4 linked regions of the Drosophila melanogaster genome follow. The protein of the gene in region 2 interacts with the protein of the main gene of each other region in a pairwise test. Each region holds a gene or a part of one and is shown on either strand. Other genes may lie near its edges.

Region 1 (4,884 bases), on a different chromosome or scaffold from region 2:
ATGGACTTCAGCGCCGTGGTGGCGTTCTCCAAATAATGATGCTGGTTGGCGGGTCGGCGATTCCACGAGGGTTTCAGTGGACGCGTCTGCAGATTCTCCACAAGGGCGCACAGACAAGTGCCATCGCAGAAATCGGTGGCCCAGTCATGAACCTGAGAGACAATGGGAATTTGCATTAACTTCTCCGTATCATTAGAAATAGTAATGGGAAAGTTTGTGGCAAATAATTAGATTACTGCTGGAATACATTCCGTTTAGCAACGCAAGTAATGTGGCAAGTAAGAGATGGGAGTGCATTCCATAATAGGTTTATTATTATAATTGCATTTAATATGATATTAGCTTTTTACGGTCTAATGGATTTGCAAAATGTACTTTTATTAAGTGGGTAGTTTTTACTTTTCCATTCTATATAGATTTAATTTTAAAAAGCATGCTAACCCAAAACAAAAAAATGTTCGAAAGAAGAGATTTTTTATCTTTATTTAATGACTCTAGCAGCATTTTCTTTATAGCTATGCATTAGTTGAGATTACTAGACTTGCTGTAGTACATATGTACATAGTTCCCAATGGAGATTAGCAAATGTGCGAAACGCCTACCATGTCTGCGCAAATGCAAGAAGGTCGCTTGACTGGCAGCCTTCCTAATGAGCAATCAACGCCCCTTCCGCAAACTGGTGGCCCACTTTGCAAGGTAAACCGCTTGCTCGGAACTTGGAGCATGGAGCTCAGATCTCGGAACATGGCACATGGAGCTCAAGAATGGGCTTGGGAACCCAACAGGTTCGCTGCTCCGAACTGAGCGGCTTTCTCCGCCCGGGTGCAACCAATTGTGCGCGATTTTAAGCATTTGACATAAAGCTTTTTATCTGGCTGCTGTCGGCATTCGATTCGACTGGGGGGAACTCCACTCCACTCCACTCAACTCAACTCAACAAATAAAATACGACAAAAAACTGGAGAACTGGGTACGGAGACAATCGCGTGTCTGTTGCTGTTTGTTTGTGCCTAGGAAAATATTCATTGGATGCCATAAAAATCTCACATCGCACATATGTAGTTGCTCCATGGCTCTCTAACAAGCTGCCGCAGGTTGTTATTTGTCGCTGCTGTTATTCCGCCCTTAAATTTTTAAGATTCCTCTGATTTTACGATATGAACTCGAGTTTCGTTGGGAGTTGCGTTTTCACCTAACAAAATATATATGTACTTTTATTTGCATATAAATTTTTGCTATATGTCAGAAAATGTCTAGTCATTCTATTACGACAGTTCCATGGTGGCAATCATTTTGAGATAATTTAATTCTACCTGCCGCAACTGTTGTTGCACTGCATTAAAACGTTAAGGTCATACAATGCAGTCACTTTGAATATTTCTCTCCGTGTATCTGCTCCCATCAAAGCATTTCCCTTTTGTTTGCACATGCATTTGTCATACAAAGTGGATTGCAATATTATTTGTCGCATACGCATGAACTAGAATTGTAAACAGCGTAAAAAACGCAAACTTGGATGACTCGTTTTGGTTTGGTGACCCAAATAGACGCCAGCCAGGTCACAATTAGCGCTGTTTACTAAGGGGTCTTCAGCCTTGCTCATCACATATGTACACATACACGTATGTATGTACGTTTTTGGCCCAACCGAAAAAGTAAAAAAAAAAAAATAAAACCCCGAATTTTATACTCGAAACCGGGCAAGATCGCGCACAAAAGCTTTAGCTTGTTTTGTGTATTGTAACTGCTAATGGGAACTCGATGCGTTGGCCTTGGCATTCAACCGGCCAAATATGGTCGGTTCAGGTCGTTTCAGTGCGGTGCGTGTGAGAAAATCCGTCGAAGCGAGTGACAGTTCAAAAGTCCCTGGACAAATGAAATGCATTGTTGGCAGTACACATAAGTCCGTGTGAGTACTCTTGGCATCATTGTTAATGTAATTGTCGTTGCTGCCATTGGAGTTCAAGATCTGCGTGGGCGATTGAGCCGAGTTTTATGAGCCCGGCCTTTTAGGGAAACTCGCGGAAGAGCTCGAAGCCCCAGTTTATGATGGCGATTTATACTTTTACGTGTTCTGTCACCAGTCAATGCGCTCGTTATGCGATTATATTTAGCTTAAATGGGATCAGTATATGAACTTCAAAAACCTTGCTTTTAAAGTGCTTCTTAATTGCGATTTATAATAATCGAAAATTTTATTTGTATAGAGTTCAATTAAAAAGTGTTCATTATTTCACATATTCATATTTTGTTTTCTATCCCTAATTACACTTCATTAAGCAGTGCCACTTTTTCTATGTGCAACTGCCTTCGCAAATCATTTCCTGGCTAAAATTCCAGATCTAAACGTTTTGTATTTCACTCATCGATTCTCAGGCCCTGCTTCATCAATAGTTCTACGAATTCCACATTCAACGGAGCTAGCCCATTGATTGGGTAATTGTTTTTTGCGCTTGATCGATCAGATATTCAGTCGGCGGCAGGCATTACTCAGTCGGTTAGAAAGTGTTGCATAATCGGAATGTAAATATATCTACAATATATCTATGGCTTAACTCACCTGCATTCCCGTTTCACGCAAATGCTCGTTGACCCAGTTGCGGAATGTGTTCGCCTGGATCTCTACCCAGAGGTCCTCGTTGCCCCGTATGTTCATACCCTTGGCGGCGGTGCCCTCGGGACTCCGGGCCACCAGACCGGCATGGGTGATCTTCTGCGTTTCGGTGGTTCCATCGGAGTTGTGCTTGAGCAGCCCCGCATGCGTCACCTTGGCGCCTTTTATGTCCTTGACGTCCATCTTCACTGCACGTCACTGCACTTCACCTGCGACTCGCACATATGTATGTACAGATGTAACTCGCGTTCGAAACACTGATCGGGAGAAATGGATAGATCGCGATGAGATACTTCTGATCGCTGTAAGTTGTAGCTATGCTATTCAGTTTCGGTTTCAGTATCAGTTTTAGTTTCGTTTGCACGCGCTCGCGGCCCGAAGCGAACTGGAACTGCGCTTAGCTGGTCGATCTGGGCGGCTCTGCTCTCTTGGCCTGGCCAAAACAAACGATGACGTCATGGCCAAAGCTCAAAGCTCCAGAGAGCAGCAGGAGAATTTATAAAAAAAAATGCGGGGGGTTTCGCCAGCGAATGTGTGTGTGCGAATATCTCTGAATCTGGCTATAAAGCAAAACTGGTTTCGTCGCTTCCAAGCCAAAACGAAGCGAGCGAAAAGGAAAATTGAATACAAAAATAACAAAAAGGCGAAAATAATACAAAAAAAAAGAGTCTGTAAAATAACAGAAATCACTTAGTTTGGAATTTCGCCGCGGCAACAGCAGGCAAAAAGCGAGCAGATCTGGTGGGCAGTACTGTGGATGCCAGTGGTTGTCGTGAATGTGGCTGTTTGGGCAAGTCTTTCACAAACGTTAGAAGGCCAACATGTGTGTAAACGTGGGAGCCACCCCAGAAGATAATGGACGTAATCACAGCAATGAAATCTGCCACGATCAATTGTCAATTGTTCGCCCGTTTTCACTTGTCGCACTTTTACCCAAACAATTTGTGCAAACCGAAAGTTGGCCGTCTGAATGGCCTTTTTGGCATTTTTCCACACGGCGTTGCGAAGACAACGAGGCGTCAAATGACCGTCTAACCAACTTAATTATAGGAAATCCGGTTGCGTTTCTAAACAAGTCAATTGCCACAGATCGCATATATCATAGCACGTCCAGTTCTGAGCGAGGCTGGTATGCAGATTTTGAATACGAATACGAATACTATTTATTGACAAACACTTTTCGGAGAGGTAAACAACTCTGGGATGACATCACTCATCACTTGCTCGGCACAGCGATGAGTTGTGGCTTGAGCACTTTTTTAACGCCCCGACAGGAGAATACAGTGCGAGAAAATCATGCTGACTAATATTACAAAAGACAGTTGACGTAGCTAATCTAGTAACTCTTCAATGGAATTCCTCTTAAAACATCAATTAACTACTTAAATACACCGCTTTGCCGCAAACTAATTTGTACCTTAATTTATTTTAAGCAGAGATGTCATTGTTGTGTTTTTGTCTCAGTGACAAAACTGCGTGGCTTGGATGAAATAAATTAACCAGCGGGGACAGCAAAAAGTGGAAATTAATGAATTGCTCCTCGGACTTATGAGTGATCCCGTGGCTGATGTCATTTACTGACACTTGACATTGGCAATGAACCTAATTAGTTGCACTCGCCAGCGGAGTGGAATGAGCCCCACTACTCGGCGAGTTCTATAGATTCAGCTGGCGGCAAGGTCATGGGAATGGTCATGATAATGGTATTGGTGGTGCTATTGGCCAAGGGGAATGGGAATGGTAATGGTAATGGGAATGACCAATCCGCTTCTTAGTTTACTCAGTTGGTCAGCAGGTAAATATCGAAAGTGTTGTCGTGACTTTAAATGGCAGAAGAGGGCCAGCTAGCACACCTAGTTTAGGGCATTACGTAATGGCCGAAATTTTCGACTTTGAATGGGCAAAAGTGTACGTATCGTAGGCTACAAATCGGTGTATCTATATCACAGAATGCGATGTGCACGTAGGTGTCTGGCATTTTTTACACTTTTCGATTTGTTTGCTGTCCGAATATACATTCGTATATACTTATTTCGCTTTTTGCCTTGCAAACCCACACGGCCAGCCAAATCTCGTAGTCGTCGTCATCGGGACAGCCACCCACATGGTTGGTTGGTTCAACGCCTCGTTCTAGACGTGGGTGCGATTTCAAGTTTGATTTGTGCCAAAACCGTGTACCAAATGGCCATTGATTTCTCAATGATTCTGTAGTGGCTGCCTAGCTACAACTCTGTTTGGATCCGAGCTGTGGGAATATATTTGGTTAGATG
Region 2 (4,718 bases):
AATTGAATAACTTGTAATCTTCGATTACTCACTATTATTTTTTGAGAAACACCCCAAAAACGACCTTAGTTCTCGCAGTGTAATCACTGAGAAAAGTCAATGGGCTTGAACTCTTTAAGTGATGCCACTACCCTCATTTTCTTTCTTTCTGTCTCTTTCCCTCCCGCTTCCGACTGCAATCAGCGATATTCATTATCTCAGCCAAAGTCGCTGCACTCTGCACTCAGTTTTCCTCCAAACCATCGGCTTTGCCTTCAAAACACAATTCTTTGGCTTGACTTTTTTTAAATCTGGGAATTTAAAGGATGAATTTTTCGAATCTAATTGCAAACAGCTTTTAATAATATGACCCTGTTATCGTGAATTTCTTTACCATTTCTTCTAATATTTACATATATTAGCTATTTTGATAAAATATTATTGGAACCCATTGCTGTATTCAATATATGTGTAACTAGACCCAATATCTCTGTATATTTCACGCCCAAAAAGATCCAGAGCACTTATCACTAATCAGTTTAGAGCTCTAAAATGAATTGTTTGTTTGCCCTAAAACATTTGATGCTTAAATGCAAATAATGTTTAAAGTAAAAAAAACCCCAATGCATTTCATCTGACTAGAATTCCACAGTGCTGCTTCTGCTTTTGAGCTTTGTTTTTCGTTGATATACGGAGATGAGTCACTAACCGATCCACCAAACCATGTCGGTCCTCTCGTAACCCCCGTCCTTATCCCTCGGACTCAAAATGATGGCCATGACTGGGTGAAGAGAGCGGAGAGGGGCGAGAAACCCCAGAGAAAACCCCGGAGAAACAGAAACAGGTTGGCGGCCAGTCGAGAATTGTGTAACGATCGTCGACTTCCTCACCTACGCCTCACAGGTGCCGCCAGGTAGATGGAATGTGGAACATGGTGTGTGGAATATGGAATGTGCTCAGTTCACACTGGCAAAAAATAGTAGCCACTGATTTTGGGAATTTAAAATATTACAAGAATTCTACAATTCCTTCTTACTGAAAAACCAAAACGGAAATATGCAAAATTTCATTTTACATATATTAATATATGTATATTCTATCTTTTTTTTTCAAGTGCACAGTTATCCCGAACGGAAGGCGAGAGTGAGCCTAATGGAGTTAAGGTGCCAAGAAACGAGGGTCCGTGCATTAATCTTTCGATCGGCGTAAGTGGGGAAATCATGTTTATCTCGATGGTAGATCTTGAAATCTTCTTCGGGGGCTTCGTATTATTCGTAATTCTTTGATCTAGGATCGCCGCCATTAATCATAATCGGCTTGGGGCGGAAAGGGGAAACCGGTTAGGGGTTTTAGGTGCTTAAAACATGTTTCGCATTCTCCAACACCACCAATTGTTGTTACAGCGTCATTTAAATAAAACTGATTCAAATCCAGTCGAGAGTAGCCTACCACCATATTTCAAAATACAACAGATTTGGATCGTTAGGTACCACAAATGTTGGTTGGTTGGTAGGTAAAAGCGTTTTCACGGTGTTGTTAATCATACTTTGGTCTAGAATCAGGGTCAATGGTCAATGGTTGTCTTGTTTGCTTGGACAATAACCTGTATTATTAATTTTCAATTCTTTATAATCATGTTTGGGTTGTCCTTTAAAAGATAATTTTACAGAACATTCTATAAGATATTCATTTCTCTGATAAAAAACACACAAATTATACAGAAACCGAATTTATTTAAATAGAAAATCTTGATTAATTACTTGCGTGATATATTAACAATCCGAGAAATAATTTAACAAAGAGCCATACACTTAATTGTTCCAAACTATTTGAATTTTAATAGCAAACAAAAGGCTTGTGGAATTCTTCATAACTGATTGACTGTGTTTTCACTAATATAATTGTTGTGGTCTCATTAGGAGCATTTCTCTGAACTAATTAGCTTTCTACAAAATAAACAATTCTTAAATTGAATCCCTAGGGTCTGAAGGTTCTGAAGCATAGTTATTAATAAATAAGTGAATAAACTATTTAGAAGCCTGACATCACTGGGCTTGTTGTTCATTTTGGAAATTTTGAAAGTATATATTTCAAATCCTTCATGACTTAAGAAATGCTTGCGATTCACTTTAAAGTGTTAAAATTTCATTAATAAAATGTTTTTATGTACTGATACGAATCACCAAAATGCAGCAATAGCATAGAAAAAATATATTGATACCGAATTCATATACTTTTTTAAAAATTTTCATTCAGAAAATCCGTTTCGTTATAAATAGCTATAAAAATAGCTGTAGCACAACCAATTGAATATTATATTTTTTAATATGATTATGATATATATTTTGTTGAACCCAATTAACTAAGTTTAACTTCAAACACTGGCAAAATACACAGTTTATAGTTTGATTCCTCAAATACAAAAAAAACAAAACCGCAAAACTTTGGTTTTTCGGGCGCCTTGGTGATAAACTTGCATACTTTTGGGCATTCGATCGAGACCTTCTTGACCCCGTCAATAAAACCTGTCCAAATTGTGCAGCCCCCAAGGAGACAGCAATGCAATCAGTGTGGATTGTGGGTAATCCGCTGATTTGCCTATGCCGATGATTCATCGCCGTTCATTTTCAGATGGCGCGACAAATGAATAAATGACGATGAATGCCATTGTAAAAGCAATATACTGTAATTCACAAGAAACACATGAGCACACACACCCATATTATGGGCGAAAGGAAGGAACAAATAAAACGGGATTGGTCCCGTTATCTCGCAGCGCTTATCTCACTTTCTCTCCAATTTCCCCAAATGCACTGTTTTATTATTAAAACTATTGTAGATCGATCGAGGCACTTGGTGGGCTTCAATACCGAAACCCGAGCACCAAAACAAAAAGCACCGATTTTGGCCAGCACTGATAAGCCGAGCTTTAAATGGGAGCATTACGAAATTGGGCTTGAGGTGGGGCTCTCCATCAAATCGGGAGCTGCAGGCGCGACGCGTTCGCGAATTTAACAGAATATCAACTGAAATTGAACTCAAGATGCCGCCGAGAATTTTCTTGGGTGGCGGTCCGCCTCGTAAGCGATTGACGTCGCAGTCGCCGCGCAGTCGCAGTCGCAGTCGCAGTCGACGCCACGAGTCGGTGGCGGTGGCTATGGCTATGGCGATGCCGACCTCCGGTCACCCAGGGAACTCGAGCACTCCACACTAGTCAGCAAAAGTGGGCACTAACCCCCAAAGCCCGCAACAAAATTTTGTTGCTTCCGATGAAAAAGCAAGTTGGGAATTATAAGCGGGTAATTTCAAATATTTCAGATATTCAAATGAAATATAATACATATATTACAGGATATATCAGTATTTTTAAAAACTATAAATGCTAACTATATATGCCAGCCTTACAAAATTATATCATCAATAAGTTTCTTTAGAATAAAACTTTTTAAATTAATATAAGATTCAATAGAAATTCTTGCCTTGTCTAATACATTTCTTACAGTTATTTACTTTTATAGGCAAAGTCTATGGATCATTATTATGACCATGACTATGGACCATTATGAGCTGTGATTCATCATCGGTGAAACTATGACTCATGTCAACCGAGCTTGAAACTATCCTTCGTACCCATGTCATGCTGACCAGTGTGGGCCAGAGATCAGTGATGGGGAGGCAAAAGCCCAGAACAGAACAGAACAGCGCAGAGCAGAACAAACCTAAAACTGAACTGAAACCGAACCACATGTGTGTAATGGAACATGGGCAACATGTGTGGCTCTGTCTGGCTGTGCGCCACCACATTCACGAATGTGCGTGTGTGTGTAAGGGTTGGGGGTGGCATGGGCTAATGAGGGGGTGAGAGGGTAAGGGTGGGGCGTGGCAGCGACAAAAGACGCTTTTTATACTCAACGCCCGTTGCCTAATTAAGCATATCGAGTGCGGTCCCTGAAGGAGGGTGGTAAAGGGGGGGGGGGTGCTGTCGAGGGTTGGGAGTTTGTTTTTCAGTTCGGCTGAGTTGGGAGTAGGGGGTGCAAAAAAAGGGGGGGGCTGGGGTCGGTTCTGGGACCGCAGAGGGGGCGGTGCTGGGCGGGTGGATCGAGCTGTGTAAGTAACCATGATGAATGCTAAACACTGTTCAATTTATGCACAACAGTTGCGTAAACCGATTACGATATGCATATACATATGTACATACATACTTTTGCTCAACACTTTATTGCAAGCAATTCCGATATGAAAATGAGAACTGCACTTTCAGCACGAACCGTAAGCTCTCTTATTTCTTATTGAATTTTGAAACCAATCCTCATAATCCTGTTCCTCATAATACTGCTCGCAATCATGTTTTGAAGATCCATATAGTACACGACCGATATTTACAAAAATCGGAATCCATATAAAACAGAACCGGGAGCAAATAGAGAAAGAAAAGATGAGGATGCATCTTTGGGGAAAAAACAACAATTCCGGGGAAGAGACTTAAAAAATAGGCGAATGAGAGTGAGACTGAGAATGAAAATAAAAATAAAAATGAAAATGAAAATAAAAATGAAAATGAGCAGAGGCCGGCGAAGAATCGCATTGCAGCCGATGTTCAGCAATATGGTCGCTTGATCTTTGAACTAAATTAATTAAGCACAATGAACACAATTGTTGTTGTTGGCTTCGCTGCCGACGGCATCAAATGTATCCACCAGATACGAATACAAATACAAATACAGATGCGGATACAAAAC
Region 3 (5,347 bases), on a different chromosome or scaffold from region 2:
ACTTGGCGAGAGCCAAAGCTTTTCTGGTGAGCGAGCTTTTGGGGCTTCCGCTCACTAAAAAAAAAAAACAAAATTGAGAGGCATCGGATTTTGATAAACGGTTCTCTTTTTTGTTTGTTTTGTTACGAAGAATAAGGCAACAACAAATCTAAAAATTTGTAAACAAAAATCAGGTGGGTTCTGTGAAAGCTCTAGTTTAGTTGAGTTGTTATTATCGCGTTGTTATTATTTTTTGGACGAAATACGGTGAAAAAGAATCACATCAAGTTAAGTCGTCTATGGACTTAAGTCTGTGATAGTTGATTACGTTTGTTAATGATGATTTGTACTCATTTACAAACGCGCAAAAGTCCAAGAAGTTCCTGATTTTCTATCGTGGTGCGTAGCAACCAAAGGGTATCTTGACAGTCGAGAGAATGTTTGATCAGTATTAAGGCGATAAATGCATGTCCGTTTCTATGCTATATATTCTATATAATTCGGAATGGGCCGGATCAGATACCTGTTACTCAGATAGAGAGGAAGTTATACATTTTTTTTTTGCATTTTAATGGAAATTGTCAAGCAATAGAATTAGAAATTGGGAGCATGTATGCGTAAATCAAAATTTCTAGCTCTCATAAGTATTTAAACTCACGGACTGAGCTAGAAGTCCTCCACTCAATTTAATTTATAAATGAATAAATAAATTTGTAGTTCAATGCCTTCATGGACTTGGTTGTCTAGGCTATAGTCGCAATTTATCGCGTATCACCCAGTAGACACTTTTATATTCTGGGTTGTTTATCATTCCGATATACATACATATATAGTAAACATTTTGGTAAGTACACTGGCGAACCGTAAAAGAAATAAATACTGCCGAGATAAGATATAGTCGTGATTTTTCGCGATAACTGCCCTCAGATCTGCACGGGTGACTCCACTGGTTGTTTCTCCGGTTGTTGCTTCGACTGTCCAGGATCGGCAGGACGTCTGCGTCGGCGGCGCCTTTTCTTCTGGGGAGGATTTGGCGGCGGGCTCTGGAAGGTGTCCACATCGAAGACCGGATAGCGTGGAGTAAATCGGGAGGCCTCGCTGACCGTGTTCGCGTCCGTGTCCGCAATATCAGTGGTCATGAACATGGCCTGCTCGTAGGTAGGAGGAGCTATAGAAAAAATGACATAAAAAATATGGAGAATGAAGAATGAAACTATCGCCTCACAATAGCATAACAAAAATATAAAGAACATATACATAAGGGCTCTATTTAACATCTTTCATAACAAAGTCCTAGCTAGAAATATTTTGTTCTCTTGTACTCACGTAAATCTGGTACGAAATCGTCGGCGGCCTCCAACTCATCATCTCCATCCTCTGGAAGCTCGAAGTCCTCTAGATCCTCGGCCATCTCGTAGCCGGAGTTGCTGACCCCGCTTGCGGCCATCTGAGCCAGTTCCATGGCCCTTGTAGAGGTGCATGGCAAGTCGGCAGGCAGCGAACTTCCAGATGGGAAGGCGTTAGTTGGCAGGAAGTCCGGTCCGGACACCGCAGTTGCCAGGGGCACGTTGCCAATAGTCACAGGGATTATGAGCCGGGGATTAGCCATAAGCCAGTTCATAACAGCCACCACACGCACTTCGTAAGATACGCGCACCACCTTGCTTAGGTGCTCGCAGGTGGGCGCCGTTGCCGGAATCCTCAGGGTTTCCGTGTAAGTCCTCTGCGCATTATGAGCCACCGGACCGCACTCGCGCTTCACCAGCATTATCTTCTCGGATGTGGTGCGTAGCGAGGGCGTATCCGCCGTGTATGTGGCTCTCAAATGCAGCATGATCAGTAGCTTCCGACAATCGGAGCTGGAGTCATTACGCACATGGGCGTGGATCAACATGAACTGACCCGGAACATAGCCCTGCTGCTGGAGAGTGACCTTCAACTGCACGGGCTTCGTGTGCATCAGGCAAAAGTGTTCCACGGCTTCATTGCTCGCCGGTTCCCGGAGCATCTTGGTCTCCTGGTTCAAGTCCAGCAGCTTTAGCACAGTGAAGCCCACGTTGTGGGTGCGATTGGAAGCTCCTGGCTTCAAAAAGGTGACCTTGGCCAGATACCGGATGTGTCCATAGGCACCCTCGAAGGACGAGGGGCAGTGGCTGGGAATGGGGCAAGCAAAAGTGTAGGTGTACGTGCCGGCGTCCATGTTAAAGTTGCTGCCCTGCTCGGAACCCATGAGGTAAGTGGTGGAGGCTATATAGTCCTCCCGCCCGCTGTACTGGTGCTTTGATCGCTTCTTGGGGTTTTGGATTGCCACCGCCTTACCATGTCTGCGGATGCGCCACTGGGCTTGCGCATAGCCACTTATTTGCAGTTTTATTCCTAAAAGACAAGAAATATTAGAATATGTAGATCTTCAATAACATGACTTCTTAACAGAGAAATATGAGATGTGCTGACTAACATTTATAATATTTCCATAATAATACTATAATATAGGCTATAATATAGACAAAGAAATCAGTACCTTAATAAAAAAGTTAAAAAAAAATACAACGGGCTTCCTAATAAAACTAGCTCACTTTGTTTATCTCTTTGGGTTACCTCATAAGGTAGGGGTAATATTAGGATAAGATAAAACAAAAGCGAGAAGCACTGAAAGACATTTCCAAAAACAGTTAATAAAAGCGTCTTAGGGGCATTTTAAATTTAACTAATACGGAAACTGTTGACGCACACTATAAAATTATTCAAATTGTTTAAATATTTGATTTGGGCTGCAAGCACGCAGATGCAAAATGGAAATGAAATAACTTAAAGACAAAAATTAACCTTTTTTTTTTTAAATAGAAGTAGAAAACATATATTTCGAAGAATCAACAAAACTTGTTGTCCATATCACTGCAAAGCCCAGACGAAAACCGTGAGTAAGTTCCCTGGTATTTCCTCGAAAGAAAATATAATTCGTTGGGTAGATCCCCAACTATAAGTAAGGTTGTTATCGCTCCCCTTCGGCTCCAGGAATCATCAATTATCGCACATTTGGAGTGTCCGCATAGTTATCACTTAATTACCCATTTCAATGGTTTGTTGAATCTTTTGCTTTTGCCAAACCTGACATTATCCGAAGCGATAAGATACGCCGCGCTCGATAAGCGAAAGCCCCCACTAGTTTCCGTACTGTTGGGGTATCCTAGTTGGTCTTACTTACCTCGCAGTTTCTTGGTCTTGTTCAGATTGACAATCACCTTGCCGGTTATCACCTGGCCGGTGAAGTAGGTGCCGTGCTCATTCTGGTCGAACGTTATCATGCAGTTCTTCGACATGTTGGCGAATAGGTAATGGGCTTATGCCTCTCCAGAGCTTTTAGATTTGCGAGCGATCCTAACGCGCCCGCTGCTAAACACGAACTGGGCCAACTGTATTGCTAACATGGCCTGGACTCTCATTTTCAGTTTTACCGTCGGCTGGCATTATCTTATCGGCTCAACTCAGTACAAAACCCACTGCAATATTTGTCTATCTGGATAGTTGGCAACGCGGCCAGTTGAGAGAAATTCCTTCATTAATTTATTAACAACTTATGCGATAAATCAGGGACTCCATTATCCTCTATTTCTTTATTGGTACAACGCCCTATCATCGCTATCTCAACCTTGGGAAAACTGGCCCTCATCGATCAGTTCTGCCTGCCAATTTCGTACTTCTCAAATTGCTGTCACTTACATATGTAAATACTCCGATAGCAATGGTAAAAATTTGTGTTTAAATACTGAGATACCTATCGCATTGATAAGATAAAATAAAAATGTTGGCCAAATAAATGCTGCACAAAAAATAAAATAAAAATAGCCGCAGCGGGTGACTTCAGTTTGTTGGGAGCCACGACACAGACAGGGCAAAAGTTAAACAGCTCCCGGATTATCATACAAATTATTCCGCACAATGGTAATCTGTGAGATTGAGTTCTGCAATAATTCCCAAGGAATTTTTTATGCAGGCCAGTTGATTTCAGGACAGGTGGTCATTAAAACTGAGAAGGAAAAGTCAGTGAAAGGTAAGGCGCTGATTCATTTTGCTCTACTCAAAACAAACGTTACTTGCTAAAAGACTTAATTGATTTGAAGTGCAAGTGTTGCAGGGGCTTAAAATAGCTTTTATTTTTACTTCAGCTGTAATCCTTAACATCAAGGGATATGCCGAAACCCACTGGGCGGATACCGAACACGATCCGGATGATCAGTCGAATGGTGAATCATTCAACGGACATGTGGACTACTTGGCCACTAGGGCTTATCTGCACGGGTCTAGTTCCAGCATAGGTATGTTCGAAGATGATAAATCACCATAAATCTAGAGATAATGAAATCAAAGCTCCATTTCAGAGGTGCTTATTGAGCCTGGCACCAGCTCGTATAGATTCGCCTGTCAGTTGCCCATCACATGTCCCTCTTCTTTCGAGGGGACACTAGGTCGGATACGTTATCTGGTGAACGTGAGGTTCGTGCGTCCGTGGAAGTTCGATCTGAACTTTAATCGATGCTTCACTGTGATCAAAGTGATGGACCTGAACTCCGAAAGCCTAATGCTGAGGGTATGTTTCTTAGTCTCTCCACACACTATGGAATAGTCCACTGTACCATGTGTTGTACCAAAGACATTAGAATAATGTCTAATTCTAGTGTCTTTGGTTGTACCATGGTCAAGTATAAAATTTTATATTTTTATATTTTATAAATTTTAGGTACCTAGTCAAGTGGAGTCCCAGCGAACTTTCTGCTGTTTTCCCTGCCGCTCGTCGCCACTCAGTATGCGACTTTCTGTTCCACAGAGTGGCTTTGTGCCAGGACAGATCGTGCCGGTGGAGGTGATGGTCTCCAATGACAGTGGTGTAGCCGTGGAGGACATAACCGTAAAACTGACTATGGTGGTGATTTACTACAGTCAACCCCCGTCCGCGGACACCAACAAGGACCGTTTTGAGATGGTCCTGAAAACAGGCGGAGGTGTGTCGACCAAATGCCGGCAGCAGTTTACCTTCGATCTTAAGGTGCCGCCAACTCCGCCAACCTGCTTTAATCTATGCAGCATCATTCAGATCGGCTATCAGGTGGAAGCGGAGGCCAGAGTTAAAGGTTGTCATGGCGGCCAGTCCCTTCACATGCCCATAACTATTGGAAGTGTCCCGCTAACGAAGCAACTCCAAAAAGAACCAAGGACTTGGGGTGAAGTTCTGCCACCCCAGCAGCTAGATGCGAAGGCTTTGATTTTAATTGGCAGCGAACAGAATGGAGAAGCACTCGGAAGCCCCAATCCTTGGGCTGCGGATCCTTCAATTGGTGAGTAAAATAGGAGCTTTAAGGAAATTCATACA
Region 4 (4,599 bases), on a different chromosome or scaffold from region 2:
GAGCTTAATAAAGAGTTGGAGATTTCTGTGACGTCTGATATGTTTACTGAAAGTGGCTACTACGTCATGGGGCATTTGTCATACATGTATGGCTAAAAGCACAATCGCAACTAAAATCCTTCTACAGTGATCCCTAGCCATAAAGAGCAAGAAATTTTAAAATAATAGAATAAAAGTGTGGATTACAATTGTAAATTTGATAATAACATGTTCAAAAAGTTATACAAATTGTCGTACTATATTTTCATCTATATCTAAATATTCATATTTGCTCAATAAATTGCTAAATAAATAAATATCTGTTTTCCTAACTTAAAATTTCTCAAACCCCAGAGCTGAAATAGTTTAGTTTATTTTTGCACGTCCTGAGGTATTCTTGGCTTTGTTGCAATCCTATATAGATGTAAATTGCGGCCGGGAAATTTGCTCCCAAAATGCATTTTGTCCGCAGACGAGCCCACGCTACATGAAAACTGTGTTTTTAGTTCGAAATTTTCGTGGGCTAGCAGAAATAAATTATACTATTTTCATTCATGCACAACAATAATGAAATATTTCCACCCGATTGGCAATGTTAACTGCAAATATTTTTCCCCTACGTGTTTGGTCTGCACTTGTGTTTATTTCAATGACTAAAATCTGTCTATGGAACAGAAGCCAAAAATTGAGTTAATAACTCAGTTCGACCTTAGACGTTGGCGAATCTTTTTTCGGTCTCATTTGGGAATTTTGTTGGCGTGAATTAGCAACGTTGTATGGATTTTATAATTTACATTTGCCGAGGGTCGAACTCGTTTCAGGTCTGTCAATTCCTGGGAAAATCAATAAAAACATTCAGCTGTCATACCTATATTAGATAAATAGATCTATTGTTATGCATCTGGCTAATAGTTGTCGATTTTTTTCGGCTTCTCATTCCAGAATGGCGAATGATTCACATAAAGAAAAACTTTTCCTCCTATCTGATCTTATAATAAACCTTTGATCTTGATTTGTCCAGAAACCTGTGCACTATTTTAAACGAATTTTTAATGAGAAAAGAGTTCATGTGAAATAACATCTTAGGTATTTTGAATTTTTATGATATTTCCAAACCATTCATAACAATAAATTTTCATTCCCAGCAAAAAGTACACATTTTTTTGTAAGGGAATCAATGTTTACTTATAGCCGAAAATCGAAATTGGAACACCTGCAGAGCGTTATAAAAATCTCAACACTTTTCCAAATCCACTTAAAAATCTATAACCATTTTTTCTGCTCGATGGCGTCATAGGAACGCACTTGAACACAAATACATTAGAGAGAACGAAACATTGAGTACGCACAACGGAAATGAAAATAAATAAAGGAAAAGTGAAGCAGTTTCGAAAATAAAAACAGATATTGGCACCCTCCGTCAGTTGCGATCAGCAACCATCATATCAGCAGCGGTAACTTTTTATCACGTATACGTATCACGTATACGTATCAAGTATACGAACCGAATGCATGCGATCGCAGAGAGCGAACAGCTGAGAATGGAGCCTGAGCTATCGAAGCCATTCCGAAGCTCTCTTGCAGCCGAGTGTGAAGCGAACCGCTCAGTTTCAATCTGAACTTGGCCGCCGACGGACGTGAAGCGCCGACTTGTTCACACATAGATATCCATACATATATATATACATATAGATGTACATATAACGCATATTGTGCAAGTCGCACGCGACTATATAGCTGCCAGTGTATTGGTTAATTATACGAAGCACGACAACTACAACGTAAACTACAGATGTGTGTATAAATCAATGTCCGCTCTAAACAGGCGGCTGCAGTGTCAATAGCAAAAATTAAACAAAACTCAAAAGTAAAATACATGAGCGGAGCAACAACGTCGCTTGTGGGAGCAACTTTTGTTTTTGTTTTCAATTTCTTCATAATTTTTTTGGCGCGCCTTTTGTGAGTCGCGCGCGATAAGTCCGACACATAAACCGAAAACCAGTCAATCATAAAAGACAAATTTAATCAATTACACGTGTCAACACAACAAAGAGCTAATTCGATTTCTGTCTGACCCAGTGCATTCGGATCGAGAATCCAAATTTAATCAAGCATTTAAAGCAGCCTACCTACTACACCATAAAAGGTTAGCTATAATAAATTTTCTGAAACTATAGTCAGCTAGCTAGCTTAAGGCGTAGTTTGTAAAGTCCCCGGTCCAGAAGGCGGCTTTAGAAACTTAGGTACAGACAGCTTCCCGTGTCAGGTTCGATTGCAATGGCACTGCAAAAAACTACGTGCCAGCAACTCGGCGGAATTCATAAATTTTAATCCCAGATACATAAATAAGTACACAATTTTCCGATGCGGGCAATTACTTATCTAATGCCACGTGTAATGAAATTTGTATTTATTAATAGTGAAGTGAAAAACGGGAATACGGCCGGGTTCACTAGACTGCGTAATCGCAAAAAAAAACGACAAAAAATTTTAATTTTTAGTGTATTATTTTTATTTTGTTTTTTTTGTCCATGCGGGAAATATTTTAAATATTTTTGTGACTTCTTTAATCTACTTCCTGTTTGATTTGAACCTAAACACCCGAAAGATTATAGGCATAGCTATATCAATACATTAAATATAGACTTTGTGCAATACTTCGTAAATATTTATTAAAATATGGTATGTTTTTGCTTATCAGCAAATATATATTTCTGCTAGTGTAACTGCAGTTTTGCAACCCAACAGGCGTATAATATATGCAAATGAAAACAAGAAAGGCGGTTGACTGCGATTTATTAAAAGAGAATAACACTCAGTACGACATTTACTAGTAGTCCCAGTGTTTCTTTCTTGTTTTATTGGTCGACTACGAAAAATCATTAACATACTGGTTCAGATTTGTACATTTGCACATAACATATGCCGGAACTGCACCCTAGAGTAGACATTTCCTCCCAAGAGCAATAATGTATGCAATTATAAACATTATAACTCTTATCTCAAAATTATAGTGCCAAAGCTGTTTGTGACGTTTTCACATTTCAAGCTGTTGTATTGGAAATAATTTAGGCGTTGATATAAAAAATTGGAAGAATATAGCTACTCAGTTAGTCTTTAAATAACTTTCCAAATGTGAAAGAAAATCTGCTCAAGAGGAGCCAAAAAGAAGAGGAATTCAATGGTCAAAAAAAAAAAAATCGAAGCAAATGCAAATATTTATATTAACAAAATGTAAATATTTTTACAACTGAAATCGGCACGGCAAAAGTTTATAAAAATTTGCGGTGGCATCTGGAAGATTTCGTTTATTTCATTTGTAATCAAAGGAATATACAACCTGAACCGTGGAACTGAAACTGCAATCGAAAGACACGAAATGGCATAAAGTCTTTAAGACTTTTGCCTTATCCGCACGCAAAACATTCGGCCATTTGGCCGTTTCGGAATCCATAAAAATAGAATGAAATGGAACAGTCATGGTCAAAACTTACTCAAATATCGATTTATCTGCTCCCAGCCAGCAGCTATCTAACTTGTATTGGGCGATGAACCGATGATGCCAACGGCAGCGGAATTGTTTTCGGTAATTGTAGAAAATAAAACACAAACAAAGTCCGCACTTTTCACACCTTTTGGTCCATGTGTGTGCGATTGCTTACATACAGTATAAAGTCGCAGTCTAGCTATAACTTTGCCAATTGTATTAAGCAGACTTGTTTCCGAATTGAAAGTTATTGTAAATTAAATGCCAGCGGGAGAAGGAAGGTCACAGCCTGTACACACATTTGTGTGTAGGGTGCAAGTCTAATTGGTAAACAATTGAGAAACGGTCAAAACGATGAACTCTGGATAGAGCTGGTTAAATATATGTTGCTAAGAATTATCAGAAACCTTTGAATTACTTATTCTTTAAATTAAAATTTAAATTAAAATTTAAAGAATACACAATGAGAAGCTTCATGTAAGCTATAGTATTTTCACCCACCAGTAATCGATTCAAAACTATTTTTACTGTAAAATAATATAACAAACTTATACTAATTATGTTTGTTTTCAAGAGTCAATTCAGCTTGATCAGTTTATTGAATACTTGTACACTTTTTCGGAAAACCCAAGAGAGCAAATGCAATTGCTTTGAACTTATTTCAATTAACTGATAAGACTTGAACTTTAATCAGCAAGAAGAAAATCCCAGCGGGGCTTTATATTCTAGTCTCCCTGATAACCCGGCGTGAGATTGAGTACTATACCTTATATATATTTCTTTTCATTTTCCGCATGAACAAAAACCAACTAAACTTTAAAATGATCTGTCATTCACATTTACATCGCCAACCAAAGCCCAAGTTCTACAAACAATTCACGCCACCACACAATTTTACAAACAATGCGGGGAAAAATATAGCTGAATCCCATTACGCATACGCCATGTTGTACCGAATCTGAATTGATTGAATCGTGAAAAGTTTTATAGCAAAATAATTAAATGCTGCGGTTTCCTCCAATTTTCGGCCATCGCGTGTCGGTCGTTTTTCTTGGCTGAAAGCGAATGTACGTACGAACGATTTGTCTTGGCCATTAGAATGGAAATGGCTCCAACGCTTGGGTAAATGAGGT

What was found.
Region 1: the proteins of RhoGAP18B (region 2) and jbug interact in a two-hybrid assay, tested with the Drosophila melanogaster proteins (one large-scale study listed by BioGRID).
Region 3: the proteins of RhoGAP18B (region 2) and CG10086 interact in a two-hybrid assay, tested with the Drosophila melanogaster proteins (one large-scale study listed by BioGRID).
Region 4: the proteins of RhoGAP18B (region 2) and Dif interact in a two-hybrid assay, tested with the Drosophila melanogaster proteins (one large-scale study listed by BioGRID).

Annotation. Positions count from the first base shown.
Region 1 is NT_033778.4:22,734,045-22,738,928, forward strand, and holds the start of jbug (jitterbug), read right to left. Parts: upstream 3,002-4,884; 5' UTR 2,798-3,001; coding exon 2,561-2,797; intron 153-2,560; coding exon 1-152.
Region 2 is NC_004354.4:19,155,195-19,159,912, forward strand, and holds the start of RhoGAP18B (Rho GTPase activating protein at 18B), read right to left. Parts: upstream 3,008-4,718; 5' UTR 2,926-3,007; intron 1-2,925.
Region 3 is NT_033777.3:7,788,679-7,794,025, reverse strand, and holds CG10086 (uncharacterized protein), read right to left. Parts: upstream 3,394-5,347; 5' UTR 3,300-3,393; coding exon 3,185-3,299; intron 2,356-3,184; coding exon 1,306-2,355; intron 1,148-1,305; coding exon 903-1,147; 3' UTR 543-902; downstream 1-542. Other genes in the region: CG18746 (uncharacterized protein), read left to right, coding at 3,919-4,030, 4,146-4,295, 4,359-4,567, 4,718-5,312.
Region 4 is NT_033779.5:17,425,182-17,429,780, reverse strand, and holds the start of Dif (Dorsal-related immunity factor), read left to right. Parts: upstream 1-1,581; 5' UTR 1,582-2,125; intron 2,126-4,599.